Anolis sagrei: one gene and its partners. The protein of the gene in region 4 interacts with the protein of the main gene of each other region in a pairwise test. Links are inferred from orthologs where the notes say so. Each region holds a gene or a part of one and is shown on either strand. Other genes may lie near its edges. The genes, in order: KCTD9, TRIM42, EFHC2 and LONRF1.

What was found.
Region 1: the proteins of LONRF1 (region 4) and KCTD9 interact in binary tests that used the Homo sapiens proteins (3 or more experiments, as listed by UniProt). The two-hybrid records come from large-scale screens. The link is inferred for Anolis sagrei from reciprocal best matches to the Homo sapiens genes LONRF1 and KCTD9.
Region 2: the proteins of LONRF1 (region 4) and TRIM42 interact in binary tests that used the Homo sapiens proteins (3 or more experiments, as listed by UniProt). The two-hybrid records come from large-scale screens. The link is inferred for Anolis sagrei from reciprocal best matches to the Homo sapiens genes LONRF1 and TRIM42.
Region 3: the proteins of LONRF1 (region 4) and EFHC2 interact in binary tests that used the Homo sapiens proteins (3 or more experiments, as listed by UniProt). The two-hybrid records come from large-scale screens. The link is inferred for Anolis sagrei from reciprocal best matches to the Homo sapiens genes LONRF1 and EFHC2.

Annotation. Positions count from the first base shown.
Region 1 is NC_090027.1:6,177,954-6,185,683, forward strand, and holds the start of KCTD9 (BTB/POZ domain-containing protein KCTD9), read right to left. Parts: upstream 3,003-7,730; 5' UTR 2,927-3,002; coding exon 2,879-2,926; intron 1-2,878. Other genes in the region: CDCA2 (cell division cycle-associated protein 2), read left to right, coding at 3,572-3,773. UniProt on the Homo sapiens protein: Substrate-specific adapter of a BCR (BTB-CUL3-RBX1) E3 ubiquitin-protein ligase complex, which mediates the ubiquitination of target proteins, leading to their degradation by the proteasome.
Region 2 is NC_090023.1:230,542,607-230,550,474, reverse strand, and holds the start of TRIM42 (tripartite motif-containing protein 42), read right to left. Parts: upstream 3,004-7,868; coding exon 2,621-3,003; intron 1-2,620.
Region 3 is NC_090023.1:77,049,201-77,057,123, reverse strand, and holds the start of EFHC2 (EF-hand domain-containing family member C2), read right to left. Parts: upstream 3,009-7,923; 5' UTR 2,891-3,008; coding exon 2,849-2,890; intron 1-2,848. UniProt on the Homo sapiens protein: Microtubule inner protein (MIP) part of the dynein-decorated doublet microtubules (DMTs) in cilia axoneme, which is required for motile cilia beating.
Region 4 is NC_090025.1:73,032,594-73,040,162, reverse strand, and holds the start of LONRF1 (LON peptidase N-terminal domain and RING finger protein 1), read right to left. Parts: upstream 3,012-7,569; 5' UTR 2,719-3,011; coding exon 2,100-2,718; intron 1-2,099.

The DNA of each region.
Region 1 (7,730 bases), on a different chromosome or scaffold from region 4:
CAGTATAGTTATATTTATTTACTTACAATATTTATATGCTACCCTCACTCAGAAGAGGACTCAAAGCGGCTTACAAGTTGTATGTACATACATTACATTATATTATTAGCATACCACAATATTAGTATTATATATTACTATATTGTACTATACGACTATATTGTAATATTATTAGTAATATTATATGTAATATGAAATATAACATTATCTTGTATTACTATTGGCATTATATTGTATTACACTATAACATTTATATGTGTATACAATATATTATATTATTAGCACAGCACAATATTAATGCTATATATTACTACTAGCTGTACCTGCCACGTGTTGCTGTGGCCAACCTTCCCTCCCACTTTCTCTTCTTTCTTTCTCTCCTTCCTTCCCTCCCTTTTTTGTTTCTGTCTCTTCTTCTTCACTTTCTTCTGCCCCGCCCACCTTTTTTTTCAATTCCTCTTTCTCTCCTTTCTTCCTTCTCAACCTATTCTTGGACTGCAACTCCCAGCACTCCTCCTGATTGATTGATCTATCTACCTACCTATCTAGCTCTATCTAATCTATCTATCTGGAGGATTGCTGGGAGTTGTAGTCCAGGAATAGGAAATTGGAAATATGCAGGGATTGGGATGCTCTCAAAGAAATCCAAGGAGAAGAAAGCTTGCAACCTGGAAGCAGTGCATTTGGATCATCCTCCTCTCCTAAAGGGCCTGGTCTAGGGGATGCTGGGAACTGTAGTCCAGAAGAGAATGTGGCTATTGTGCATTTTGTTTGCCAGGGGAGTCATTTTTGCGCATGTGGTATAGCATTTTTGCTTTTTAAGTCCCTTCTTCTGTGTTTTTCAGTGTTTTTATGATAGTCACTCGTTGGCCTGATAGGCGTATTGTATCCAAATTATGTTAATCCCACAAAGGAACATTACATTTTTATTTATATACTAGCTGTACCCGCCACATGTTTCTGTGGCCGACCTTCTCTCCCTCTTTCTCTCCTTTCTTCCTTCCCTCCCTCCCTCTCTCCTTTTCTTTCCCTTCTTCTTTCTTCCTTCTCTACCTGTTTCTTTTCTCACTTCCTTTGCTCTTTGGTTCCATCCTTGTCTCTTTCCTTCCTTCCTTTCCTTCCTCTTTCTCTCTTTTGTTCCTTCTCGCCTTCCTTCTCTTTTACTTTTTTATTTCCTTCTCTCCTTCCTTCCTTCTCTACCTTTCTTTCCTTCTCTCCTTCTTTCTCTCCCTCCTTCTCTCTCTACCATTCTTTCCTTCCTTCCTTCTCTTCTTCTCTCCCTCTATCCCTCCTTCTCTACCCTTCTTTCTTTCCTTCCTTCTCTCCTTCCTTCCCCCTTTCTGTGTATGTGCTTTGTGTGTATATGCATATATGCGTGTGTATATATATCTGTGTGCATATATAGTGTGTGGATCATAATAAATTGTGGCAAGTTCTTGGTGGGATGGGCATACCAAGCCACCTTGTGTCTCTCCTGAGGAATCTGTACAAGGAACGAGTCGCAACAGTAAGAACTGACCACAGAACGACAGACTGATTCTAGATTGGGAAAGGCATACGGCAAGGCTACATCCTCTCACCCAACCTTTTTAACTTGTATGCAGAACACATCATGCGAGGATGTGCGGGGCTTGAGGAATGCAAAGCTGGGGTGAAAATTGCTGGAAGAAACATTAACAACCTCAGATATGCAGATGACACCACTCTGATGGCCGAAAGCGAGGAGGAGCTGAGGAGCCTTCTAATCAAGGTGAAAGAAGAAAGCACAAAAGCCGAGTTGCAGCTAAACATCAAAAAAACCAAGATTATGGCAACAAGAATGATTGACAACTGGGAAATAGAGGGAGAAAACGTGGAGGCCGTGACAGACTTTGTATTTCTAGGTGCAAAGATGACTGCAGATGCAGACTGTGGCCAGGAAATCAGAAGACGCTTCCTTCTTGGGAGGAGAGCAATGTCCAGTCTCGACAAAATAGTAAAGAGTAGAGACATCACACTGGCAACAAAGATCCGCCTAGTCAAAGCCATGGTCTTCCCTGTAGTCACCTACGGATGTGAGAGCTGGACCGTAGGGAAGGCTGAGCCAAGGAAGAGAGATGCTTTTGAGCTGTGGTGTTGGAGGAAAGTCCTGAGAGTGTCTTGGACTGCGAGAAGATCCAACCAGTCCATCCTCCAGGAAAGAAAGCCCGACTGCTCATTGGAGGGAAGGAGACTAGAGACAAAGCTGAAGTCCTTTGGCTACATCATGAGGAGACAGCAAAGCTTAGAGAAGACAATGATGCTGGGGAAAGTGGAAGGCAAAAGGAAGAGGGGCCGACCAAGGGCAAGATGGATGAATGGCATCCTTGAAGTGACTGGACTGACCTTGAAGGAGCTGGGGGTGGTGACGGCCAACAGGGAGCTCTGGCGTGGACTGGTCCATGAGGTCACGAAGAGTCGGAGACGACTGAACAAATGAACAACAACAACAATGGTTGTTTAGAGGCATTTTCTCCTGACGTTTTGCCTGCATCTATGGCAAGCATCCTCAGAGGTAGTGAGGTGTGGTGTATCTATATCGTACTATACCACTATACTGTAATATTAGTAATATTACATGTAATGTAAATATACATGACTATATTGTATTATTATTATTAGTATTATTATATTGTATACTGGTGATACAGGAATGAAAGTTGAGAGAGGAAAAGGGTTGAGGTCTCCATTGGATGACCTTGCCATTCCTTGAGACCTGGGCCTTCCTCACAGGGCTGTTGTGAAGTGAGGGAGACTCGTGCCTGCCACCTTAGGAGGAGGAAAGTCAGGATTAACCATGCCATTAGCAGATAACATTCCTGAAAGCAGAGCCATCACCCGCAGTTCTTGTTGAGCTCACCTTCCCATTCCTGGGGCTGCCATTCACAAACAGGGTGACTCTCTTCATCTCTTCTCCTTCTTCCCTCAGAGTGACATGCTCTTCCCCGCCTGGGTTGCAAACCCGGAAGCCGAAGTTCTTTCCCTGACTCAGCCTATTCACCAATCCGCAGCAAGCCTCGTTCTCCTTCGCCCAATAGGAACTGCGATGCACATTGTAGGCGGGACTTTCGCCTTAGAACAGCTCCAGCGGGAGCCTATCAGAGCGCAATGTTTTTCCAGCTGAGGGAGGGGCTACTTTGCATAGGGAAGAGGAGCGCCGCTTCTGATTGGTTGTTGATCCTATGACGTTGAATTACCAACGGTCGTTTGTCGGTTAACGATGTCGACGCTTCCGCGTGGCCGGCTCTCCTTGAAAAGTAGTCCCTGGGATGTGGGCGGTGCCTCTTCTCATTGGAGGAAAGACGTGGGAGAGTTTTGGTCACGTGAGACACAAAACTGGCCAGAATTCAAGGGAAGTCGGGAATAAGAATAACAAAGAGTCTTATTGGAGAAAAGGCGGAGGGATACGTAATTGCATCGCGAGGGAAGAGGCTTGTTTGAATGGAAAGCGCGAGGAAAAGGCAGTCGCTCTGAGGCGAGTGAAGGGAGAAGGTGTTTGTGTTGAAGAAGCTTTAATGAGGCCTGTTGTTGTTGTTGGCGGCTAAAGGCCACAATGGCAAGTGTGTCTACACAGCAGACAGGCGCCTCCCCGAAGGGCCCCAACGCCGTGGAAAGGCCCACTTATTGGACCCCTCGCAAGAGTGGATTAGGACCAAAACCAGGCCTTGAAAGCCCCGCGACGCCGCTAGATTTCTCTACCTTGAAAGCAGCTGATTTTGGCATTACCCCGGAGTCGTTTACAAAACAAACGGAAGGTAATGTTCCAAGAAATCTGGGTTGTTGTAGGTTTTTTCCGGGCTATATGGCCATGGTCTAGAGGCATTCTCTCCTGACGTTTCACCTGCATCTATGGCAAGCATCCTCAGAGGTAGTGAGGTCTGTTGGAACTAGGAAAAAGGGTTTATATATCTGTGGAATGACCAGGGTGGGACAAAGGACTCTTGTCTGCTGGAGCTAGGTGTGAATGTACCAGGTTTTTTTTTTTTTGGTCGTGTCAGGAGTGACTCCTGTTGTGAGAAAATTGGCCGTCTGCAAGGATGTTGCCCAGGGGACGCCTGCATGATTTTTGATGTTTTTATCACCCTTTTGGGAGGCTTCTCTCATGTCCCCGCATTAGGAGTTGGAGCTGATAGAGGGAGCTCATCCGCCTCTCCCCGGATTCAAACCTGCGACATGTCGGTCTTCAGCCCTGCCGGCACAGGGGTTTAACCCACTGCGCCACCGGGGGCTCCATAATGTTTCAATTGACCACCTTGATTAGCATATAATGGCCAGACAGTGCCTGGAGCAATCTTTTGTTGAGAGGTGATTAGATGTCCTTGTTTGTTTCCTCTCTGCTGTTGTGCTGTTGTAATTTTTGAGTTTTTTTAATACTGGTAGCCAGATTTTGTTCATTTTGATGGTTTCCTCCTTTCTGTTGAAATTGTTGAAATTGCCCAGACACGAATCAAGGAACATGAAAGGCACTGCAGACTACTTCAACCAGAGAAGTCAGCCATAGCAGAGCACCTGATGAACCAGCCTGGACACAGCAGATTATTTGAGAACACAGAAGTGCTGGACCACTCTCACAACCACCATGTCAAGCTACACAGAGAAGACATTGAAATGCACAAGCATGTGGACAATTTTAACAGAAAGGAGGAAACCATGAAAATGAACAAAATCTGGGTACCAGTACTAAAAAACTAAAATTACAACAGCACAACAACAGAGGAAACAAACAAGGACATCTAATCACCTCTCAACAAAAGTTTGCTCTAGGCACTGTCAGACCATTATGTGCTAATCACGGTGGTCAGTTGAAACATTCACACCTAGCTCCAACAGACAAGAGTTCTTTGTCCCATCCTGGTCATTCCACAGATATATAAACCTGTTTTCCTAGTTCCAACAGACCTCACAACCTCTGAGGATGTTTGCCATAGATGCAGGCGAAGCATCAGGAGGGAATGCCTCTAGAACATGGCCATACAGCCCGAGAAAACCTACAACAACCCAGTGATTCCGGCCATGAAAGCCTTCGACAATACTTTAAAGAAATCATATGGCAGTCTGTGTCGTGTGTGTTTAAGGCAGTGTTTCCCAACCTGGGGGACCTGAAGGAGTTGTCAAAGATGATTAGAAAACATTATTTTCTGTTGGTCGTTCTGTGTGGGAAGTTTGGCCCAATTCTATCGTTGGTGAGGTTCAGAATGCTCTGATTGTAGGTGAACTATAAATCCCAGCAACTACAGCTCTCAAATGTCAAGATCTATTTTACCCAAACTCCACCAGTGTTCACATTTGGGCATATTGATTATTAGTACCAAATTTGGTCCAGATCCATTTTTGAGTCCTCAATGCTCTCTGGATGTAGATGAACTATAACTCCAAAACTCAAGGTCAATGCCCACCAAACCCATCCAGTATTTTCTGTTGGTCATGGGAGTTCTATATGCCAAGTTTGGTTCATTTCCATCATTGGTGGAGTTCAGAATGCTTTTTGATTGTAGGTGAATTATAAATCCCAGCAACTACAACTCCTAAATGTAAAGTCTATTTTCCCCAAACTCCGCCAGTGTTCACATTTGGACATATTGAGTATCCATGAAAGTTTGGTTCAGATCCATCATTGTTTGAGTCCACAGTGCTCTCTGGATGAATTTGCACAACTAAAACTTGTGCGCCAGCTGCGCCCGTATCTTGGGAAGGCTGACTTGGTCACGGTATTCCACGCTTTGGTTACATCCTGTTTAGACTACTGCAACGCTTTCTACGTGGGGTTGCCTCTGAAGACTACCCGGAAGCTGCAGCAAGTACAACGTGCGGCAGCCAGATTACTAACGGGTGCTGGGTATAGGGAGCACACCACTCCGCTGTTACACCAGCTCCACTAGCTGCCAATTAGTTTCTGAGCACAATTCAAAGTGCTGGTGTTAACCTATAAAGCCCTAAACGACTCCGGCCCGGTTTACCTCTCTGAATGTATTCTCCCCTACAAACCATCAAGATTACTAAGATCGTCTGGAGGGGCCCTGCTCTCGGTCCTGCCGACTTCACATGCGTGGCTGGTGGGGACGAGGGACAGGGCCTTCTCGGTAGTGGCCCGGCAACTCTGGAACTCTCTCCCGTCAGAGGTTAGAACTGCCCCAACAATCCTGACATTCAGGAAACAGGTGAAGTCGTGGTTATGGAGGCAGGCTTTCGAAGAATGAAACAATGATCTGCATGGAAGACGGTGTATATTCGATTTTAGTATGACGACTGACCACTGTAGTTTTAAATATATGTGCTTTTTAAATGTTTTATTGCAATGTGTATTTTGATATTTTACCGATTGTATGTGTTTTTATGGTTGGAAACCGGGCTGAGTCCGTCTTATGAGGTGAGAAGCTCGGTATATAAAACTTTTAAATAAATAAACAAATATTTATTTAAAACTCAAGGTCAATGCTCACCAAACCCTTCCAGTATTTTCTGTTGGTCATGGGAGTTCTTTGTGCCAAGAGTGGTTCAATTCCATCATTGGTAGAGCTCAGAATGCTCTTTGATTGTAGATGAATTATAAATCCTATCAACTACCAAATGACAAAAACACACACACACGCAAACACACCTCTAGATTTCTGTCAGCAAATGTGAAAGCAAGACAACAAAAAGAAAGGAAAAAACAGGACAGACAGGTGGTCTGTCAAATTTGGGTGTATCAGGTATTTCTGCAATTACAACTCCCAAATGACAAAATCAATCCCCACCAGTATTCAACTTTGGGCGTATCGGGTATTTATACCAAGTTTGGTCCAGTGAATGAAAATACATCCTGCATATCAGATATTTACATTACAGTTCATAACAGTAGCAAAATGACAGTTATGTCGTAGCAACAAAAATAATGTTATGGTTGGAGGTCAACACAACATAATGAACTGTATTAAAAAAAGGCTGTGGCATTAGGAAGGTTGAGAACCACGGTTTAAGGGGTAGCCATGAATGATTTTGGAGGCATGTGTGAGTAAGCCACATAATGTTGAGTTGTAAGTTTTCTGGGCTGTATGGCCATGTTCCAGAAGCATTCTCTCCTGATGTTTCATCCATATCTAGTGCAGGAATCCTCAGGTTGTGAGGCCTGATGGAAACTAGGCAAGTGAGGTTTATATATCTATGGAACAATTTCAAAGGTTGGAAAAAGAACTGTTATCTGTTGGAGGCAAGTGTGAATGTTGCAATTGATCACCTTGATTAGCATTAAATGGCCTTGCAGTTTCAAAGCCTGGTTCCTTCCTGCCTGGGGGGATCCTTTGTTGGAAGGTAAAGATAAAATTTCATACCACAAAAATTAAAAATGAAGGTTAAAATAGACCAGCTATTACACAATCCCAAGCTACTTCAGATATCTGCGTCACCCCTAGTTTACTCCAATCGCCTCCAGATACTGTTGGAAGGTGATTAGCTTGCCTTGATGGTTTCTTGTCTGGAATTCCCCTGTTTCTGAGTGTTGTTCTTTATTTACTGTCCTGATTTTAGAGATTTTTAATCCAATATAGCCAGTGGTGAAGGAAAATGGGATTTCAAGTATAGTATAACAATCTGGAGGGCCAAACAGTCTTCTTCTTTGGTTTGGGTTGTAAAATACCTTATTATTACATTGGCCACCTTTTATCTTAAGCTTCTGTTACATTAACATTCACTGCATCAACAGTGTTAACTGAAAATTTTGGGTCTAGAAATGC
Region 2 (7,868 bases), on a different chromosome or scaffold from region 4:
CCATACAAGTTTTCAGAACAGAATTATTTTTTAAAAGTCAAATTATTGGTGAATGAAGGAGATAGTTTTCTTTACTAGTTGTACAAGTAAAAACTGGTCTAGAATATGACTTCTTAAACTGTGGATCACAACCCCAAATAAGATCCCTTTAACTCAATGTTGGTGTCGTCAAAAACTGGCAACAGTAATAATTTTCTGACTGCCATTTAGTTACTGTTTTAGAAATTTACACAAATTTGTCCAGCATTTACAATGGACTCTACATAAGATGCTTCATTAAAAACTGTTTAAAGGTAAAGGTTTTCCCCTGACATTAAGTCCAATGCTCATCTCCATTTCTAAACTGAAGAGCCAGCATTATCTGTAGACACCTCCTAGGTCATGTGGCCGGCATGACTGCATGGAGCACTGTTACTTTCCCACCGGAGCGGTACCTATTGATCTACTCACATTTGCATGTTTTTGAACTGCTAGGTTGGCAGAAGCTGGGGCTAACAGTGGAAGCTCATGCTGCTCCCCAGATTCAAACCTGTGACCTTTTGTCAGCGAGTTCAGCACCTCAGTGCTTTAACTCACTGCACCACCAGGGGCAGCAAGCCTTAAAAATGCCTCTAGAACATGGCCATATAGCCTGAAAAAACCTACAACAACCCACTTAAAAATGATGTTGTGTTATCCATATATGTTTGATATTTTTACCTATTTTATATACTTATATACCCAGGATCATGTAAAATTGTCTTGGGCCAAAAGGGGTCCGAAGTTGAAAAATTTAATAATAGCAACAATAAAAATATCTTTATTTATATCCCACCCCATCTCCCCAAAGAAGTCCTAGTCTAGAGTTCATATATCAGCTGTAGAACATAGAAAAATTACTTGGTTGAATGGTGAATCCCTGAGCTAGTATGGAGATGCGGGGAGCTTCCATCCAATGCAGTAACTTTTCCAAGCTTTGATGAGGTCAGAGCTTGTCAACAATATGATGAAGCTGTTATTGATATAAATGGGTTTGGTCCTGGACCAACAGATCCCAAATAACATAAAATCTGACTTGTTTATTGTGCATTGTGTGAGTTAATAAAAAAATAGATAGGGGAACTCTAAAAAATGGAGGTTAACTTTGACCTGTGGAGTTCAGGTAATACCTACAACTAATTTCTCAAGCAGAGAAAGAGGGTTAACATTAAGTTGCCTAAAGCATCCAGTAAGTTGAAATGAAATGGGCTTAGGTTTCCATCTTTTAAGTACTATTCAGCACTGCCACTGGCAACTGTTCTTAAGTCTTGGTTTGCCATGGTTTAAAACTGAGAATTGTAAAAAGTGGGTTAAACCAAGTAATCTATTTTCTAAAAGTGAATGGAGACAGTAATAAAGGATCATATCAAGCACTTCACTACAAAATAGGTTTTGCTGAATAAACCTGATTACTGTCTTCATGAACTGGGAAGGCAGAAAAATCCCTCTTCAAAAGTTTCCTTCAGTTAAAAGTTGTGTGGATTTTTTTTTAAAAAATATAAAACATCCATGACTGGGATCAGGATTATTGAATTTTATAATCTTATCATTCACTCACATCTCATTTTATGTAAGTGGCCCTCAATTTCACTAATATATTTTTAATTTTGACATTGATTTTGAATATGTATATTTGTTAGCAAAGTGTAGCCTCCCCAACATCCAATTTTATGAAAAACAGTGTGTGTGCTTTACATCTTGGTCCTGTCCTCTCCTTATCATTCTTTCCATGTATAGAAGCAATTAGCATTTCTTTAATCCTGGGGCATTCTGGGATTTAGAGCTCAAAAAGCTGACTATCCCATTCCCAGGCTCTGAATGTATACTAAATCCTTCTGAAGAAGTTATTTTGTCCATGCTCATATGTAAATTCCATTTTGCATGCTGTATGCCTCAAGTTCAGTCCACAGCAACTCCAGATTGGTTTTGATTTCAAATCGAATGCCTAATGATGGTAAAGACTCAGAGGTGTAACAAAATGACTCTGTGCGTATGCAAAATTGAGACATTGCCTCCCACTAAGAATTCTGCCCCTTCATGAAAATTTCCACTGTAGTTGTGTGTGCACTGGACCATGACTCTGAAGACTGGAGATCAATTTCCCTCTTAGCCATAGAAACTCACTGAGTGGCTTTGGATGAGCCAGACACTCAATCTCAAAAAAAGTTGATAAGTTAACTTTAGGTCACCATAAGACAAAAATGACTTGAAGGCACAACAAAATAAATTCCAGCCATGCAATAAGTTAGACACTGAAATTGTTTGAGCCTAGAATCCTTATATTTGCTGTGTTTGCATTCCCTGGTTAACTTTGGCTGCCCCTTTCCTTTGAATGCCTAAACTCCATTACTAAATACTGAACTAAAGTTTTAATTACCAATACTAGAAGTTTGAAAACTGAAGGAATTTTTATGGAGGGAGCAATGCCTTCACACACACACACACACACACACACACCTCACTCCAAAAGGTCATTTACTTGAAACATTTGAGATGTGCTGTCAGTCAGATAGTCATTACTGGGGTTGATGGAGTAACACCCTGATGTAAGTGTACAAGTACAGGACTGTGATCCTTAACATTTTAGTTTTACAACACTTACCTTTTCAGTTTATGTTTACGCCTATATGGCAAATAGGAGAGATAACTGCAGCATCTACTGTCATAACACTGACACTCAGTATTTGCATCTGTACAGCACAAACACTTGCAATTTCGATTAGTAGAACAGGAGCAACAGCAACAGCGGCAATTCGGATTCTCCGAGCATGAACAGTGGCAGCACTGGCACCTTGAATCTTCACGATGTGGGCAAAAACAGCAGTCCCACTGCCGCTCATCACTAAATAAGAACAGCCAACAAGAGCAGCATCTGCCAGAGGTTATATTATTCACAAAGTCTCGAAACTTGATGCAGAATCCACAACATTTACAACCTGGGCAACATGGGCATGTCCAGCAACATGCACAGCTCATGGCAGTCATGGTCTTCCCAGATATTTAAGGTTTCCCTTTTTTTAGTCCTAGAAAGCTTTACTTGCTGTTTATGTTTGCAGAGCAACTGCCCCATACTTTATTTTGGACCTCTGGAGAAAATACTGATCACTTGGGAAGAAAATGTGGCATCACAATGGGTTTTACCAATGAAAGCAGTGTCATAATGTATGTCATAATGACTAAAGCACTTGAGATTCCTGCACTGATATGTTCATATGACTAAACTGCACAAGAAATAATGCAATGAGGATCATTGTATTACTCTGATAAAAATTGCACTTTCTCTGGTCAACAGGATGATGTCAGCATGGAATCTTAAAATGACATGATTTATGTAAATACATTAATTTTGGCTATCATTTGATTTAGTATTCTCTATTGTTTTGCCAATGTTTTGTTATTATAAAAGAAACAGAAATATTAGAGCTATAAATACTCTACTTCTGAGCCAATCAGAAATTAAAGTAAAGTCATGATTCTGAGGATGAGGGCATGTTCATTCTGGGTAACAGTGCATGTGATCACTAGACTGAGAGACAAAATATCACATTTACTGGAAACATTAAAATACAATAAGAACTCAGTATTGTATTGCTGCTCTAACTATTTCTTATGTGCCAACACAATGTCTCCTCTTGTCTTACAAAATACATGTCTAGGCAATCTCAATTGTCTACGCTGGCTCCACAGAGTCGTCTTTGGATACTTACAGTGGGTTACAGTTATTGTTTTGGGTGAAAACTGGATTGATTAACATTTCTTTTTCTTTATAACTGATACTGATATAATGAATTATATTTCTCTGGCTACCAGGCATAAGACATTATCAGTCATTCCAACCAAAAAGACAGTCTTTGTGAGTGCTTCAGGAATTGCTGCATAATACTACTGCATTTAACATGCAACTGATATTTCCGTTACAGATGCTACTCATAAACTGGTTTGTGAGCTTCTGATGAGATCATTTGGTAATTAGAGCTGGGTTTCTGGGTGTTGTCTGAATTATTTCTGAACAATATACAAGTATCAAATTAATACTAAAAGACTGGAAAATATGTCCATCTAGCAGGACTTCTAGGAAACAATAACCCATGGAAATTAAGAGACTAAAGTGGACTAAAAGGCTCCATTTTCTATATTTTCATCTGTGAAGACTAAGGTTACTACCCCTGATAGTATCCCTGAAATCTCAGGTCCAGAACCTGAGAGTTACTGATGACATCATGTTGATGTCACAGGACACAGGGACTGGTGATATCATTATGCATGATATATCAAGCATCAACAGCAGTAGAAGAACAGAACATGCAATTCATTTTGAAAAATGGTCTAACAAATGAAGAAAATACAAACACACACCTGTTTAACCCCAAGATTCCTTCCCCTCAATCTCATATCTAGAAAAGAGTCGCCGAATTAGGCTGAAAAATGCGGTATAAAAATAAAGCAAATAAATAAATAAATAAATAAAGAGTAAATAAGCTTTAAGATATGGAAACCCTAATAAGGTCACCTAGCTATTGCTTCCAAGCTTTCTAGAATAGAAGCTGTCTTCTTGCAGTGTGGATCTGAGGAATACCTTTAGTACATGCATTAATTAACTTTACCAATGGCATCTGAAAACAAAGTACAGGTTAAAAATATAATAACAGAGCAAACTAAAACACTGTTTAAAAACCTTATTCTCTCTTATTTTGGGGCCATGGGCCTATTAACAGTTGAGTGAGACTTTGTGTTAAATTTTATTGGCTGAATCATCTTTAGGGCTAGATTTATGCTGCTCTGTATCCCAGGATCTGAACCCAAGTTATATGATTTGAACTGGATTATATGAATCTACACTGCCAGATAATCTGGGATAAGCAGATAATCAGGGATCTGATTATGCTAATATAATGCTATTTTTGTTCCCATGCCTAGCAATAGAACGAAGCAATTGCTTACCATCAAACAGTGATGGGGGGAGCACATTTTCCTAATGTCATCCAGCAAAGATTTGAAAAGAAATTTGGGGTCTACTATGATGCTTGCAAGATAGGATATTTGGAAATATGCTGGAACCCAGGATTTGGGAGAGGTTTCTAACCTATCATTGTTCATATTTTATGATCTAGGAAGGTACTATAATTACTTTTTTTAATGTCAGGAGCAACTTGAGAAACTGCAAGTAACTTCTGGTGTGAGAGAATTGGCTGCCTGCAAGGATGTCGCCCAATGGACATCCAGATGTTTTGCCATCCTGTGGGAGGCTCCTCTCATGTCCCTGCATGAGAAGCTGGAGTTACAGATAGGAGCTCACCCCACTCCCCAGATTCAAACCACCAACCTTTCAGTCAGCAGTTCTGCCGGCTCAAGGTTTAACCCATTGCACCACCAGGGCTCCACTATAATTACTGAATATTGATCAATTGACTTGTCCTGAAGATTTATTGATCCTATTTTGTTGAATGTGAACGAAGCAATTTTTGCAGAACACAGGGCAGGCTAATTATCTTCCAGCTGTTTTGACCCAAGCTGCTTAGAAACCAGCTTATTGCTGCTGCCTCACAGCCTCTCTCATCTGAGGTAACTCTCTGTAGAGCCAGTCCTGATTTTGAATTCAAATGTTCTCAGATTGAATCCTTGACATTTCCAACTGAAGGAGAGAATGGTGCAAATAACCTAATCTCCTGAAAGCATTTGGAGCCACTGCCAGGGAAAATAAGCCATTTTTGTTCTGAGCCTAAATCTAAAAGGACAAAGTCAATAATTGATTTCCCACTTATCCCCAAGATACAGATAAAAGTTCACATGGGAAAAATGTGTTTGTTGTGTGCCTTCATGTCATTTGTAGCTTATGGCAACCATAAAATGAAGCCAATGGGTTTCCATGACCATGCAGGGATGTGCATTCTTGTCTCCAGAATCATAGTCCAATGCTTAAACAATTACACAATTCTGGATCTCAGGGAAAAATTGATGAAATATTTTGAGAAAGAACACTGCTTAAATTGTAGGGTTTTTTCCCCCAAACATATGACATTATCCCATTTTGTTTCACATTTTTCATTTTTTGCTCCTAAAAATATATTTTCGCTTATCTTATTTTGTCTTTTCTGAGAGATAGATTATGGGGAACTATTTTGGATAGGCAATAAAATAATCTGACCTGGAATCAAGCAGTTTCCCATGGATTGTTTATGGTGGTTCCATACATAAAGCAACTATCAAGATTTTCTGGCAAACTAGGCAGCAAATTACATCCATCCTCCTTTCTGTAAGCTTTGAGTACCACTAATTAAAAATGAACACTAGAATCCTAACTGATCAACTTAAGAATAAACTTATAGAACCTATCTTGTGTATATATGGCTGGAGTTACACTTACAATATGTACCTGTTCTGACTTACATACAAATTCAACTTAAGAATAAACTATCTTGTTTGTAACTTGAGTCTATCTTGTTTGTAACTTGAGGACTGCCTGTATCTAGCTACATTACAGGGATCTTAAGAAATCCCTTTATTGAATAGGAAATATGTCTAACAGGACACCAATAAGAGTGTATCTGTGGTGCCCAATGTGCATAGAGACTGATGCAATGTGTGCTGGGATATGCAATCCACATCCCATTGTGCATAATCTCATTGCACATCCATTACTTTGCTCATTCTATTACATAGTAACATAACATCTGTTCACTCTATTTCATTGTAACAAAACAGCAGCTTTGGATGATGATGATGATGATGATGATGATGATGATGATGATGATGATGATGATGATAGATTTCAGAACAGTTCAGTATTAATTCCCACAGATGTAACTCCACTTATAAAAATGGAAGGTCCCAACAGGCTTCTGGCTGAAAGCTTTTGAATGTGAGGTTGATGGATCCATGCAATTTTTCACATATCCCTAAAGAGTCAGGAGATTACCCCACCTTAGCCCACTAGGATTACGACATCACAGCCTTTGTGAACAAATATGGTCCTTTAATATAAGGACAGTGACAGCAAAATTTTCTGGCAAACTAAGCAGAAAAAATATATCCATTCTCATCAGAGATTATATTAAGTTTGGATACCACTAATTAAAAATAAATACCAGAATCCTAAATGACCTGTTAAGTTATGTAACTTTATATGTCAGCCAGTGCCATTTTAATTCTTTCTCTCTTTTTTGGCAATTAGTAAGTGTTGTTTAAGTACTGGTATGCTGGTTGTCTTCTTCAATCTTGAATCTTGAAAATATTCTCAAAGCTTTATCACATTCTGGAAGTTCATGGGGTGTGATAATTCTGAACATGCCTACCTGATATGTATGTACAAGAGATTCATCCATTCATAATCAGCATAAATGGAGTATGGAAGCTTTATTTGACTTTGTGCATTGCCATTAGTAGCTATCTATCATCTCCACATTTATATTTTTACAAATTATATGTTCACATGAGGCACTCATAGCCAATAGGCTTTTGTTTCAAAAGATATCTTTTTGTTTGCATAGTATTTCTATTAAGTTTTTTATCTCTTTCCTTTGGAAAAATGGGGCAAGACAAAAAATTGAGTTCTGGCTCCAAATTATGGTTATATGAGTAATCAGCCACCTTGACAGAAAGAGAGAATTTTCTTTTGTTTTCTTTGGTCAAGTTGTTGTTGGCTGAGTGTGATTCCAAAGAAGTGCTTTTTTGTGTCACCTACTCCATTTTTAAACTCATGAAATTACTTGTTTCAGTTTCACTTTCCTATGTGACGCAGGTTTGCTACTAGAATGGGGGAAAAACATAACACCGGAAGACTGCTTTTGTTATAGAGGAGACATGGTTTTTAAAAGGGAATTTTCAGATATATTCCCAATGCCCATATGTCA
Region 3 (7,923 bases), on a different chromosome or scaffold from region 4:
ATATTAAGGCAGAAAATCCCACAATATCTGCTTTAAACTGGGTTATCTGAGTCCATACTGCCATATAGTCCAGTTCAAATCAGATGTGGGATTTTATGCCTCAATATTCTGGGATATAGGGCTGAGTGGAAAGGCCCAAAGTCTTTAGCCAATAGCCATTTCTACCTGGTGATGGTGCCTCACCAAATTACAGGATTCCCTAGCATTGAACTATGGCAGTGAAAGTAGGGTCAGTATGCATTCAATCTACAGTATAGATGCACCCAGAGGCATCCTGGTGCCTAAAGAAGGAACTGTTGATGGAATGTAACATTTTCTGACCTTTGCCTTATTCCCCACATGATCAAAAAAGAGAAAGGACCTCTGCCTGTACTGAGACCCCTCCAGACCACTGGTTTCCAGCCTGTGGTTCGTGGACCACCTGTGGTCTGCAAGAACCGTCACTGTTGCAACAAAAGCGACTGGTCTCGCAAAACCCTCTTATAGTGCTGAGGCAACAGGGATGTTGGAAGGGGAGACTACCCAGGAAAGGCACAACTGCTGCTTCAACTCCTCCTCCCTCTTCCTAAGCGGAGCTGTTCCGTGTGGTGCCTGGAAGCAGGGATGCCTTGGTGTCTTCATTTTAGGCCTGTTCCTGAGGTTATTTGGGGTGCTGATTCAGAATATTGCATTGGATAGACCACATCAGCTCTAGATTATTAAATATGGTTTTCTGTGGGCAAGCAGATGACAACTACTGGATGGTGTATGTTCTGTATCAGAAACTAGAGCTGATGTGGTCAATCTCATACGATTTTCCGAATCAGCAACCCAAAGAACCAAATCAAATATAAAGCTGGCCAAAACCTGATTTGTAACCCTTTTGGTACTAATATTGGAGAGTAGTCCCTGGTCAAAGTGGTCCCTGGTCAAGAAAAAGGTTGGGAATCACTGTTCCAATTGAACAACAGAAACGTTATCAGATGCAAAAGGTTTGCCTGTGACTCCAACATCACCTCTTTTTCTTTTATTCTTCGGTATGATTGTTTTGAATCCCTTTTGCTTGGTATTTATTTATTTATCATGTCAGGAGCAAACCAAACAGTTGTATTGCATTTTAAACTAACTAACAAACAAACACAAAGTTTGCAAGCTTGGTAGTTGATTAAATGTCCTTTTTGCCTGGTGAAGATGCCTTGATTTGGCCAGGGTGGTCCATGCCTTAGTCACCTCCAGATTGGATTACTGTAATGCGCTCTACATGGGGCTGCCCTTGAAAACGGCCCGGAAATTTCAGTTGGTCCATCAGGCGGAGGCCAGATTGTTAACTGGTGCTTGTGGGTTTTTTCGGGCTATATGGCCATGTTCTAGAGGCATTTCTCCTGACGTTTCGCCTGCATCTATGGCAAGTATCCTCAGAGGTGAGGTCTGAGGATGCTGACCTCACCTCTGAGGATGCTTGCCATAGATGCAGGCGAAATGTCAGGAGAAATGCCTCTAGAACATGGCCATATAGCCAGAAAAAACCCACAAGAATTGAGTGATTCTAGCCATGAAAGCCTTCGACAATACATTGTTAACTGGTGTTCTTTTCAGGGAGCGGTCAACCCTCCTGTTTAAGGAGCTCCGCTGGCTGCCATTTATTTCCCGGTCCCAATTCAAGGTGCAAGTTCTTACCTACAAAGCCCTGAACGGTTTGGGACCCGCCTACCTGAGTGACCGCATTTTTGTTTACGAACCCACATGATCTCTTCGTTCATCTGGAGAGGCCCTGCTTGCGCTCTCACCTCCATCGTAGGCGAGATTGGTGGGGACGAGGGAGAGGGCCTTCTCAGTGGTGGCCCCTTGACTTTGGAACTCACTTCCCAAGGACATCAGGCATGCCCCAACTCTGGCAGTCTTTAGGAGGAGCCTGAAAACATGGTTGTTCCAGTGTGCCTTCCCAGAATAATGAACTCTCAGCATTGTGCCCTCTAAATGCACTTTTCATTGATTTAGGATTGTTTGTACGCTCTCACCAACGCCCAATCTCTCCTATCTTGTTCATGCCTAGCATTATTTTTAACTTTAATTACATTTGGCCCAGCCATAGATTTTAAATGTGTGTTGTATTACTGTCATTGTAGACTGCTTTTTGTTGATGAGTTTTATTTAATTGTTTTGTTGTTGTTGTTGTTGCTTGTATTGATGTATTGTGGGCTCGGCCTAATGTAAGCCGCACCGAGTCCCTTGGGGAGATGGTAGCGGGGTACAAATAAAGTTTATTATTATTGAAAGCTTGCATTAAGTATTTTGTGCATTTTGTCAATAAAGGCATCCCTTTCTGTAGATTCTGTTTTCCAGTCAGCTCTCCATATCCACAGATTCTGCATTCTTGGATTCCATCATCCATGGTTTGTATATTTTAAAAACAGAAACTAATAGCAAGCCATACATTCTTCCCTTTCATATAAGGCATATCAATTTAATGATGCTGAATACCAAGGGCAGATACCAGGGGCCCAGTGTATTTTTCTGCATGAGGAGCACAGCTACCTTTGAATGTGTGTCCTAAATGTGGAGAAAGGGGGTAGTCATGAACGATGTTGGCCTAATTGGTTCAAAGGCACCAAATGCAGCCTGATCTCCAAAGCTAAGCAGGGCCAGCCCTGGTTGATGCTTGGATGGGAGACCACCAACGAACACCACGTGCTGTGGGGCTAATTTTCAGAGGGAGGGCCTGGCCAAGCCCCTCCTGGCCCAAGAGAACTCTCTGAAGCCCAGGAACGGAGAGGCGACCTGAAAGGGAGAGAAGGAGAAGGGCAGGAACCTGGGCCCCCTCCCCGGGAGAGCAGGGCGGCAGCGCGAGCGAGCGCGCGAGGCCACTTACATTCCTGTTGAAGGAGTTCCCGGGCAGAAGCGGGAGCGCCATGGCGGCACGCCTGCTGCCGACCGGGGCTGGCTGGTGTTTCTCGCCCGAACCCGCTGGGCCCGCAAGGCGCGCCCGGGGCCTGTTTGGAGCCCCGTTGCCAGGCAACCGCCGCCCGACGTCACAGAGGACGGCCCGGGAAGGGGCGTTCCTGCCCTCTGCTGCTCCCTGCAGTCACGTGGCCCTCACTGCACGCCGCGCCGGCTTTCCAGAAAGCAAGGCAGCCCATTGGAACTTCACCTGAGTGGAGGAGCTGGATCAGAAGCTCTACATGACAGCTGCAGGGAGAGAGCACCATCCCACTGGCATTTAGACCAGACATGGGCACACTTCCTCCCTCCAGGTGTTTTGGACTACAACTCCCACAATTCCTAACAGCCAGTAGGCTGTTAGGAATTGTGGGAGTTGTAGTCCAAAACACCTGGAGGGAGGAAGTTTGCCCATGCCTGATTTAGACCCTCTGCCCTACTTACTACAATTCGATCTAGTTCAAAGTAGTTACCTTTAATTAGACCTAGCCCCCTTCTACACTGCCATATAAAATCCAGATTATTTGCTTTGAACTAGATCAGGGGTCCTCAAACGTTTTAAACAGAGGGCCAGGTCACAGTCCCTCAAACTGTTGGAGGGCTGGATTATAATTTGGGGGAAAAAAACACTAATGAATACATATTTTATTTGTAGTGCAAAAGACACTTAAAAACAATACAATAATTAAAATGATGAACAATTTTAACAAATATAAACTTATTAGTATTTCAGTGAGAAGTATGGGCCTACTTTTGGCTGATGAGATAGGATTGGTGTTGTTGTTGTTGTTGTTGTATGCTTTCAAGTCATTTCAAACTTTGGTTGACCCTGAGCAAGGGCTGTGTCAATGACCTTGGAGGGCCACATCCAGCCACCGGGCCTTAGTTTGAGGACCCCTGAACTAGATTATATGTTAGTATAAGCTAAGGGTCTTTCCACACAGCCCTTTATCCCAGGATATCAAGGCAGAAAATCCCACATTATCTGAGTATGGACCTCGGCCCCTTCCACACGGTTGAATAAAATTCCACATTATCTGCTTTGAATCAGAATATATGGCAGTGTGGGCTCGGATAACCCAGTTCAAAGCAGATATTGTGGATTATCTGCCTTGTGAGGTCACAACCGCTGAGGATGCCTGCCGTAGATGTGGGCGAAACGCCAGGAGAAAATGCTTCTGGGACATAGTCATACAGTCGGGAAAACTCACAGCAAGCCACCAATTCTTTTTGGTTTTCCTAAGCAAAAGACATAGTGAATGGAATGGTTTTAAATACAAATCTATGTTTAACAATCCCCTCTCCTTCCTCATCCTTGGATGAGGCAACACCAGAAGCACTCCAAGCGGCCAGATACTGGTCAAAGGACATTTAATCAACTACCAAGTTTGCAAAATTTTTGTTTTTTTATCTGTTTGTCTGTTTTGTTCTGTTGGAAATGTAATACAATGGTCTGGTTGCTGATGACACGATAAATAAAATAAATCCTTGGAAGTACATTAGACTTATGGATACACCTAACTTACTAACTCCATAACTAACCTATTATACTTTCCTTGGCCTCCCCCTCCCCCCCCTCCCCGCCCCTTCTTATGGTATAAAAGTGTGAAAATTGGTTAATGAACACTGGAATGGAACAATGGATGACGAATCTGGAACATGTTTTTGATGGCGAGACGACAGTGAATGGGTATTGTAGTAACTGTTTATTAATTGTGTAATGTGTTAGGTTGTTAACTGTTTCTATACTGTAGCACTGAATTTTTGCTGTTCGTATTTGTTGTGAACCGCTGTGAGTCGCCTTCGGGCTGAGAACAGCGGTATATAAGTAAGGTAAATAAATAAATAAATAAAATGAAAAACAACCAGTCCACACTGCCATATATTCCAGTTCAAAGCAGATATGATGGGATTTTCTGCCTTGATATTCTGGGATATAGGGCTGTGTGGAAGGGCCCCCAGATAATCCAGTTCAAAGCAGATACCGGGGATGATCTGTTTTGATAATCTGGATTATATGGCAGTGTAGAAGGGGCCCTAGTTACTATAATTAGTTCCAGTTCAAAGGAATTGATTTCAGTTAGACTTTGGCCCTTCTACACTGTCATATAATCCAGACAATCAAAGCAGAAAATCCACATTGTCTTCTTTGAACTGGATTATATGAATCTACACTGCCATATAATCCAGTTCAAAGCAGATAATCTCGATTTTACATGGCAGCATAGAAGGGGTCATTGGGCCCTTCCACACAGCTTTATAACCCAGAATATCTGCTTTGAACTGGGTTATCTGAGTCCACACTGCCATATATTCCAGTTCAAAGCAAATAATGTGGGATTTTATTTGGCTGTGTAGAAGAGACCATCGTTACTGCATTGAGATCCAGGGCCTTTCCACACAGCCATATAACTGAGAATGTCAAAACAGATAATCCCACAATATCTGCTTTGAACTGGGTTATCTGTATCCACACTGCCATATATCCCAGGTCAAAGCAGATAATGTGGGATTTTATACAGCTGTTAGGAAGGGGCCCCAGTTTTAAAGAATTGGTTTCATTATTGTTATTAATAATGAAACCAATTAATCTAGAATTATATATAGATTCAGTGTTAGACACTGAGCTAAATTATAGTGTATTGTAATTGAAGCAAATGCCAACTCTGTCTCTTTTTGTTGTGCCAAAAATATTTAAAGTAATTATATAGTTACAAGTGGCCTCACTCAATGGGATGGAGGCGTGTCACAGTGTTTCAGAGCCAGCTCATCCTTTGCAATGTGGGAACAGAGACCAATGGAGTGAGGTGCCCCTTCCCGCCAAAGAACCATGCTATTTACCTTGAGAGAAAATACAAAACTTGTAACTATGACAACAACTGACTACTTCAAGGACCTTGGACCTATTGTTGTTGTGTGCCTTGAAAAGTCATTTTCAACTGATGGTGACCCTAACACAAGATTTTCCTGGCAACCTTTGTAAGGGGGAGGGGGGGTGTTTTCCTCTGCAGCTCTCTCATACCATAGTCCCAGAACCAGGATTATCTGGAAGCACCATTTCATACCATGCACTACTTAAATTATAAAATTTCCTACCATGAGGCTTTGATGACTTTAAGAAGACATTCGAGTAACACTGATAATGGCTGTTTTATTATCTCCAGCATTAGAGACATGATACCCCAGTGGTGCAGTCGGTTAAACCACTGAGTTGCTGGGTTTGTGGATAAAGGCACTATGTCCAGTTCTACTTCAGATTGAATTGTTACAAGATCTTTGTTTCCTTTCCATCTGGGTACACTTGTGGGTTTTGCTTTGTTTTATGTTATTGCCTCTGTACGTACTGTTTGTATAATAAGGACAACATTTCAGGTACTTGATGAAATAGAATGTGACCTACCAAAGTTTCTACCATAGTAAATCCACAAAACCAGCCTTAAAAAGACCTCTTGGTGCCATAACCTAATTGCTGGACAGTTCTGCCAAACTTTGAACATGTAAAAAGGAAAGCTCGCTGTCATCAAGTTGTCTTCAGATATTTCCCAGATATTCTCAATTCTGAATCAAGTTAGACCTTAGGACAAACTTGCCCAACATAACAAACTTTAAGTACTGATGGAGTTTTTCAGGGTTAACCTGGCATGACTTGAGTAGTAGTTCACCCATAACTTTAAGCATTTTGTACAATTAAAAATGACTTTTTTCAAATAACCCAGGCAACACTGGGTACCCAAACTAGTTCAAAATAAAAATGTGTTCTCTTTTCTGTCAGAAGAAAGAAAGGATGTACAGTTTTGTTAATTTAGTAACAAAATTACAACTGAGATTGTAAACGTCATAATTGCAACAATTAACATATTGCAAAAACATGTTATTCGTTCAGGCCCATATGCTTCCTTTTCCCTTCGTGATTTGAATGTAAAGAAAAAGAATACAGAACTTCTAAAGATCTGAGGTTATGCAAACCATTTGCCCCCCCCCCCCCCTTCTTTTCCTCTATGAGATTGCTTTTACTGGAAAAGTAGGTTATGTCAGACTGTAAGACATTGGGACGTGAAGCCTGACTCAGTAGTCATGTTTGATCCATTGTACTGGATCAAATCCAATATTTAACTAGCGGACAAAATGCTAATCATGGCTTATGCCTCTCTTTACTGGCTGTCATTTTTCATTTAACTTAGTAACCTACAAGCAAACAGTGGCCAACTCTGTTTTACTAATGAACGGAAGGCATGCCTTCTGCTGTTTTTGATGTCCTCAGCTATAGTTGGTATGATTCATGTACTATATAAGAGCAAAGCTTGAAACTGTTACTTTACACAGGAATTTTACGAGCATGAAGATGAACCAGTGGAAAAACCCTGGGACCTGATTTTCCATGATAAATTAAATAATATAGTTTTTGATATTGGAAATTCCATAACCTATTGGAAATAAGTGCACCATAACCTCGACTCTGGAATTCACTCCCCAGAGATATTAGGCAAGCTCCCACCCTGAATTTTTTTAGGGAGAGCCTGAAAACATGGCTGTGCAATGACTGAATGTATGATAATCCCTGACCAAACTCTGCATAAAATGTCCTCAGAAGCACGTTATTCTCTGGTTTGTGCAATGAAATCCTACTGTATCCCCCAGATCCCTTTCCTGATATTTTACACTGCCCTATCTCCCAGTGTTTTAAAATTTTAATCTTTGAATTTGGCCCTGCCCACTTTGATTATTTTTAGTGTTTTAATGTTTTGATTCCATATTGTTGTGTTGCCTATTTACATTGGTTTTGTATTTTGTTATTTTATTTTCTGATTTTATGTTGTGTTTTTGCGTTATATTGTGTTTTCTGTATTGATGGGTGTGGCCTCATGTAAGCTGCCCCGAGTCTCCTTGGGGAGATAGTGGCGGGGTATAAATAACGTTATTATTATTATTATTATTATTATTATTATTATTATTATTGAAAAGGTAAAAAAATGATGTCACACCCGTTTGGCAAATGTGAATCTCCAT
Region 4 (7,569 bases):
TCCTCAGAGGTATTGAGGTCTGTTGGAACTAGGAAAAAGGGTTTATATATTTGTGGAATGACCAGGGTGGGACAAAGAACTCTTGCCTGCTAGAGCTAGGTGTGAATGTTTCAACTGACCACCTTGATTAGCATTTGATGGCCTGGCAGTGCCTGGGGCAATCTTTTGTTGAGAGGGGATTAGATGTCCTTGTTTATTTCCTCTCTGTTGTTTTGCTGTTGTATTTTAGAGTTTTTTTAATACTGGTAGCCAGATTTTGTTCATTTTCATGGTTTTCTCCTTTCTGTTGAAATTATCCACATGCTTGTGGATTTCAATGGCTTCTCTGTGTAGTCTGACATGGTGGTTATTAGAGTGGTCCAGCATTTCTGTGTTCTCAAATAAAATGCCATGTCCAGGTTGGTTCATCAGGTGCTCTGCTATGGTTGACTTTCCTGGTTGAAGTAGTCTGCAGTGCCGTTCATGTTCCTTGATTTGTGTTTGGGCAATGCTGTGTTTGGTGGTCCCTATGTAGACTTGTCCACAGCTGCATGGTATACGGTAGGCTCCCACAGAAGTGAGAGGATCCCTCTTGTCCTTTGCTGAACGTAGCATTTGTTAGATTTTCTTGGTGGGTCTGTAGGTAATTTGTATGTTGTGTCCTAGTCATCCGTAAACCAGATCAACAATTGGGTCACACCGTTCACAGAAAACCCACACACACAGATAGATATCTACATAAAAACTCCAACCACCACCCAGGTCAAAAAAGAAGCTCCATTAAAGCTTTGGCAGACCGTGCAAAAAGAATCTGCGAACCCCACCTCCTCCAAGATGAACTGAACCACCTAAACTGGCTTCTACAGGCCAATGGATACTCCACCTCAGACATCAGAAGAGCTGCAAGACCGAGAACAAGCCATGAAACTAAAGACAAAGATTTACCCAGAGAAAAAGTGTTCTTGCCATACATCAAGAACCACATAGGGAAGCTGATGAGGAAACACAACATACAAACTATCTACAGACCCACTAAGAAAATTTAACAAATGCTACATTCAGCAAAGGACAAGAGGGATCCTCTTACCTTCACACTTGCCTTCAACAGATAAGAGTTCTTTGTCCCATCCTGGACATTCCAGATATATAAACCCCCTTTCGTAGTTCCAACAGACCTCACTACCTCTTGAGGATGCTTGCCATAGATGCAGGCAAAAAGTCAGGAGAATGCCTCTAGAACAGTGTTTCTCAACCTGGGGATCGGGACCCCTGGGAGGGTCACGAAGGTGTGTCAGAGGGGTTGCCAAAGACCATCAGAAAATATAGTATTTTTTGTTGGTCATGGGGGTTCTGTGTGGGAACTTTGGCCCACTTATTTATTTATTTATTTACTTTGCTATCATTGGTGGGGTTCAGGATGCTCCTTGATTGAAGGTGAACTATAAATCCCAGCAAGTACAACTCCCAAATATCAAAGTCTATTTTCCCCAAACCCTTCACATTTGGGTATATTGAGTATCCGTGCCAACTTTGGTCCAAATCCATCATTGTTTGAGTCCACAGTGCTCTCTGGATGTAGGTGAACTACAACTCCCAAACTCAACGTCAATGTCCAACAAACCCTTCCAGTATTTTCTATTGGTCCTGGGAGTTCTGTGTGCCAACTTTGGTTCAATTCCATTGTTGGTGGGGTTCAGAATGCTCTTTGTTTGCAGGTTAACTGTAAATCCCAGCAGCTACAACTCCAAAATGACAAAATCAATCCCCCTCTGCCAACCCCACTGGTATTCAAATTTGGGCATACCGGGTATTTGTGCCAAATTTGCTCCAGTGAATGAATGTACAACCTGCAGATTATTATTTACATGGCGATTCATAATGTTAGAGTTATGGTTGGGGGTCACCACAACATGAGGAACTGTATTAAGGGGTGGCGGCATTAGGAAGGTTGAGAACCATTGCTCTCTAGAACATGGCCATATAGCCCCCCAAAAAATCCACAACAACCCAGTGATTCCGGCCATGAAAGCCTTCGACAAAGATTATGATTATGATTCTGGATGGAGCCTGGGTGGTGCGAGGGTTGGCTGCAGCGCGAATGGCCCTTCCCGGCGTCTTACCTTCGGCGAGGCCGCGGCTGGCGGCGTGCAGGGCTTCCCGGGGCCGCCCTTGTGCCAGGAGCTGCCCGAGGCGCCGCCAGGCCCGCGCCCTCTCGCACTCGGCCGGGAACCACTTCTCGCCCAGGTGGCGGAGAGCCACGGTGACGGAGGCGGGAAGCAACCCCAGAGGCTCCCCGCAACGGCGGCACCGGGCGCGGAGCTCCTCGCTCAGGCAGCGGCGGCAGGAGCTGTGCCCGCAGGGAGCCGTCACGGGCTCGCTCAAGAACCCGCGGCAGCCCGAGCAGCGGAAGAGCCCTTCTTCTTCTTCTTCCTCCTCCTCCTCCCGCTTCTCTTCAGGCGGCGGGGCTGTTTCTTTGGCTTCCGCGGCCTCCTCCTGCTCCTCTCCCTCCTCCTCCTTCTGCCGGAGACGGTAATGGAGCACCAAACAGTCCACCAAAGTGCTGAGGCGGCGGCGGCAACTCGGCATAGGCGGCGGGCCCAGGCGCAGCGCCGCCGAGTAGGCCTCCAGCGCTTCTTTCAGGTGGTGGCCTAACGCCAGGCGCTCTCCTCGTCGAAGGAGCCGCTCCTGCTCCGACGGGACGCCGGGCTCTGAGGGAACTTCCATCGAAGGAGACGCCATGAGACCTTCCTCCTCTCAGGGAAAGGGGGCGTGTGGCACGCGACGACGACGCCGCTCGAGACGCTCCTTCCAAACTCCCAACTCTGTCTGAGTGGAGCTGGGCGCGCCTGCGCACTCCTGTCAAACAACCCCTCCCCCCGCCCCTTGTGGGACAATTCTTCAACCGCCCCTGCGCGCGCACGGCAAGCTCCGCCCACTCGCCTCTCCCTCGTTGCCACTTTTCTCACAGAGCAGGTAAGCTCTCTCAACACAGATCCCCTCTCCCTCGCCACCTCCCCCCTCCCTTTCGCCGGCGCGCGAGACAATCCCGAGCGAGGCCACAGGCTTACATAAAACCACACGTCATCCACCCCTTTCCCGCGCAAGCTGGCCTCCGATTGGCTAGACGGAGTAAGGGGCGTGGCGGGCGAAATTATAAAACAAGGCCACGTGGCCCAAGGTTTGGTTGGCTGCCTGGCTTTTGTTGTTCTTCCCAATTTAATGAGAATCATAATCTGGGTTGCTGTAGGTTTTTTCGGGTTATATGCCCATGGTCTACAGCAGTGGTTCTCAACCTGGGGTACCCAGCTGTTTTTGGCCTTCAACTCCCAGAAATCCTAATAGCTGGTAAACTGGTTGGGATTTCTGGGAGTTGTAGGCCAAAAACATCTGGGGACCCCAGGTTGAGAACCACTGGTCTAGAGGCATTCTCTCCTGACGTTTTGCCTGCATCTATGGCAAGCATCCTCAGAGGTAGTGAGGTCTGTTGGAACTAGGAAAAGGGGTTTATATATCTGTGGAATGACCAGGGTGGGACAAAGGACTCTTGTCTGCGGGAGCTAGGTGTGAATGTTTCAACTGACCACCTTGAATAATAATAATAATAACAACAACAACACTTTATTTGTACCCCGCCACCATCTCCCCAAGGGACTCGGTGCGGCTTACATGAGGCCGAGCCCAAATACAACAATACAAGCAATAATAACAACAATACAAGCAAATTAAAATAAACATGGACAATACAATCATAGAATCAAGAATCAAAGAGTTGGAAGAGACCTCATGGGCCATCCAGTCCAACCCCCTGCCAAGAAGCAGGAATATTGCATTCAAATCACCCCTGACAGTGCAACATTAACAATAAGACCACACGATTAAAAACTATGGGAAGGCCAAATGTAAAATTAAAATTCGAAGTAATGCTGGAACATGGGCAAAAAAGTGATGGGGTGTTTGTGGAAAACATACAAGCAGACCTAAAAAGTAAAGTTCTTTGGAGGACAAAGTGCTATGGGATCATTATTCTGGGAAGGCACACTGGAACAGCCATGTCTTCAAGCTCCTCCTAAAGACTGCCAGAGTTGGAGTCTGACTGATGTCTTTAGAAAGTGAATTCCAGAGTCGGGGGCCACCACCGAAAAGGCCCTCTCTCTCATCCCCACCAATCATGCCTGCGATGCAGGTGGGATCGTGAGCAGGGCCTTTCCAGATGAACCAAGAGATCGTGTGGGTTCGTATACAGAGATGCGGTCATGCAGGTAGGCGGGTCCCAAACCGTTCAGGGCTTTGTAGGTAAGAACCTGCACCTTGAATTGGGTCCGGAAAATGAATGGCAACCTTGAAATCCATAAGCATGTGGACAATTTCAACAGAAAGGAGGAAACCATGAAAATGAATAAAATCTGGCTACCAGTATTAAAAAAAACTCTAAAATTGCAACAGCAAAACAATAGAGGAAACAATCTGGGACATCTAATCACCTCTCAACAAAAGATTGCTCCAGGCACTAACAAGCCACACCAAACAACAGCCAGGCCATCAAATGCTAATCAAGGTGGTCAGCTGAAACATTCACACCTAGCTCCAGCAGACAAGAGTCCTTTGTCCCACCCTGGTCATTCCACAGATATATAAACCCTTTTTCCTAGTTCCAACAGACCTCTGAGATCTGAGGATGCTTGCCATAGTTGCAGGTGAAACGTCAGAAGAGAATGCCTCTAGAACATGGCTATACAGCCCGAAAAAACCTACAGCAACCCAGTGATTCCGGCCATGAAAGCCTTCGACATTATTATTATTATTATTATTAATAATAATAATAATAATAATAACACTTTATTTGTACCCCGCTACTATCTCCCCAAGGGACTCGGTGCGGCTTACATGAGGTCGAGCCCAAATACAACAATACAAGCAATTAAAATAAAACATGGACAATACAATAATGCAACATTAACAATAAGACCACACGATTAAAAACTATGGGAAGGCCAAATGTAAAATTAAAATTGAAAGTAATGCTGGAACATGGGTGAAAAAGTGATGGGGCGTTTGTGGAAAACATACAAGCAGACCTAAAAAATGTAAAGTGCTTTGGAGGACAAAGTGCTACACAGAATCATAATCCATTTTAGGTATTACCTCTCCTGATGGCTCAAGGCGGGGTATATATGGAATATGTGCAATCGACATCTGCAATGATCCAGTCTACGAGTTTGGATCATGTGGTTTTAATGTTTTTTATTAAGTGTTCTTAATTTTTATACTTCATGTTAAACAGATGGCTGGATGGCCATCTGTCAGGGGTGCTTTGAATGCGGTTTATTTGCTTCTTGGAAGGGCGTTGGACAGGATGACCCACGAGGTCTCTTCTAACTATGATTCTCTGTCCCATTCTCTTATGATGGAATTGTCCTATTTATTTTATTTTATTTGTTTCATATACTTATACCCCGCCCTTCTCACCCCCCGAGGGGCGACTCAGGGCGGCCTCACAGCAAACGCCATTTGGTGCCATCATAATGATATGAACAATCAACAAATTCATTAAAACAAAGCATTAAACAGTTGTTAAAACACGCCAATTAAAATCTGGGTCCAGGTTAGGGTTAGGGACACAAAGGGACAGAAGGAAAACTTTCTAAACGGAAAAACACACCAAATGGAAGTTGTAAGACATTAAAGGGAAAAAGAAAGACCAGGTGATAGACGGCTGACAAATGCAATAGCCTTAGATGTAACAAAGGAAGAAAGATCAAACAACAAAACATACCAAATGGAGCATTAAAGGAAAGGAAGAAAGTTCACATAGGTCTCATGAAGTCCAAATGGTATTTGATGGATTGAATGACCTTTAATCAGGAAACTGGGGAAATTACTCACTTTAATTGTTTTGGTAAACACCAGATCAAAGTACCATATGGAACAGGAACAAAGGGAAAGAGAAATGTGAAGGGAAATATATGAAAGTGTGGAACATACTTGCAAATCCTATAAAAGCCTCATGCATGATTCGTTTAGTGTGGGACCTGTTTTTCACTGCTACCATCAGACCTTCTTGCAAATAAAATCGATTGTATTTCCATCTCCTCGCTTCTCAGTCTCATTGGCAACAGGTCCTGGAGGTTTCAGGTTTGCCTTTTAAAGGGGCAATGCAACTAGGCTCAAAAAATATATTAATACTAGCTGTACCCCCCCCCCCCCCGCACGCGCTGCTGTGGCCAACCTTCCCTCTTTCTCTTCTTTCTTTCTCTCCTTCCTTCCCTCCCTCTTTCCAACCCTTTCTTTCTTTCTTTCTTTCTTTCTTTCTTTCTCTCCTTCCTTCTCTTCTTCTTCCCTCCCCCCCACTTTTTCTTTCCCCTCCTCTTTTTCCCCTTTCTTCCTTCTCTACCTATTCTTGGATTGCAACTCCCAGCAGTCCTCCTGATCAATCTACCTACCTACCTACCTATCTCTATCTTATCTATCTATCTATCTGGAGGATTGCTGGGAGTTTATTTATTTATTTACTATATTTATAGCGCGCCTTTCTCAGCCATATGGCAACTCAAGGCGGGTTACAGATTGGTACAATTCAATGTCAGGCATTTATAAAAGTGCCATTAAAAACAATCAACATTACAATATAAAACATATATAAGAACCGTTAAAGCATATAATCATTGGTGTCATCCAGCTAAAAACGTTATCCAGTAACATTGTCTGGCCATTCCATGTTCATCATTCATAGTTCTGTGTTATCTATTTCGCTGCATTCTCAAAAAGCTTGCTCAAAGAGCCAGGTCTTTACTTTTTTTCAGAAAGTCAGGAGGGAGGGGGCCGATTTAATATCCCTGGGGAGGGAGTTCCATAGCCGGTGGGCCACCACGTAGAAGGCCCTGTCTTTCGTCTCTGCCAATCACACTTGCGAGGCAGACAGAATCGAGAGCAGGGCCTCCCCAGACGATCTTAAGTTCCTAGATGGTTCATAGGAGGAGATACGTTTGAACAGGTAATCTGGGCCAGAATCATTTAGTGCTTTATAGGCTAAAGCCAGCACTTTGAATTATGCTCGGTGGCAAATTAGCAGACAGTGGAGCTGACACAACAGAGGCGTAGTGTGGAGAGTTGCAGTCCAGGACTAGGAAATTGGAAATAGGCAGGGAATGGGATGCTCTCAAAGAAATCCAAGGAGAATAAATAAATACACTCCATTTAGGGGAGAAATGAAATACTCAGTACTTGACAGCAGTAGATTAAAAAAGGAGCTGGGGTTTTAATAGATTAGAAGCCAAACATGAGTGATAGATCACAAGCTAAACATCAGCGTGACAGCTAAAACCAGTAAAGTTTTAGGATGGATCTGCACACTGTCCTATATCCCATGATCCAAACCCAGATTATCTGCTTTGAACTGGATTATATGATGCACCTACACTGTCCTTATATCCATGGATCTGATCCCAGGTTATAAACCATGAACTGGATTATATAAATCCCCACTGCCATATAATCTGGAATAAGCAGATAATCTGGGATCACATTGTGGGATATAGGGCAGAGTAGAATCCAGCCTTAGGCCCCTTCCACACAGCTGTATACAATCCACAT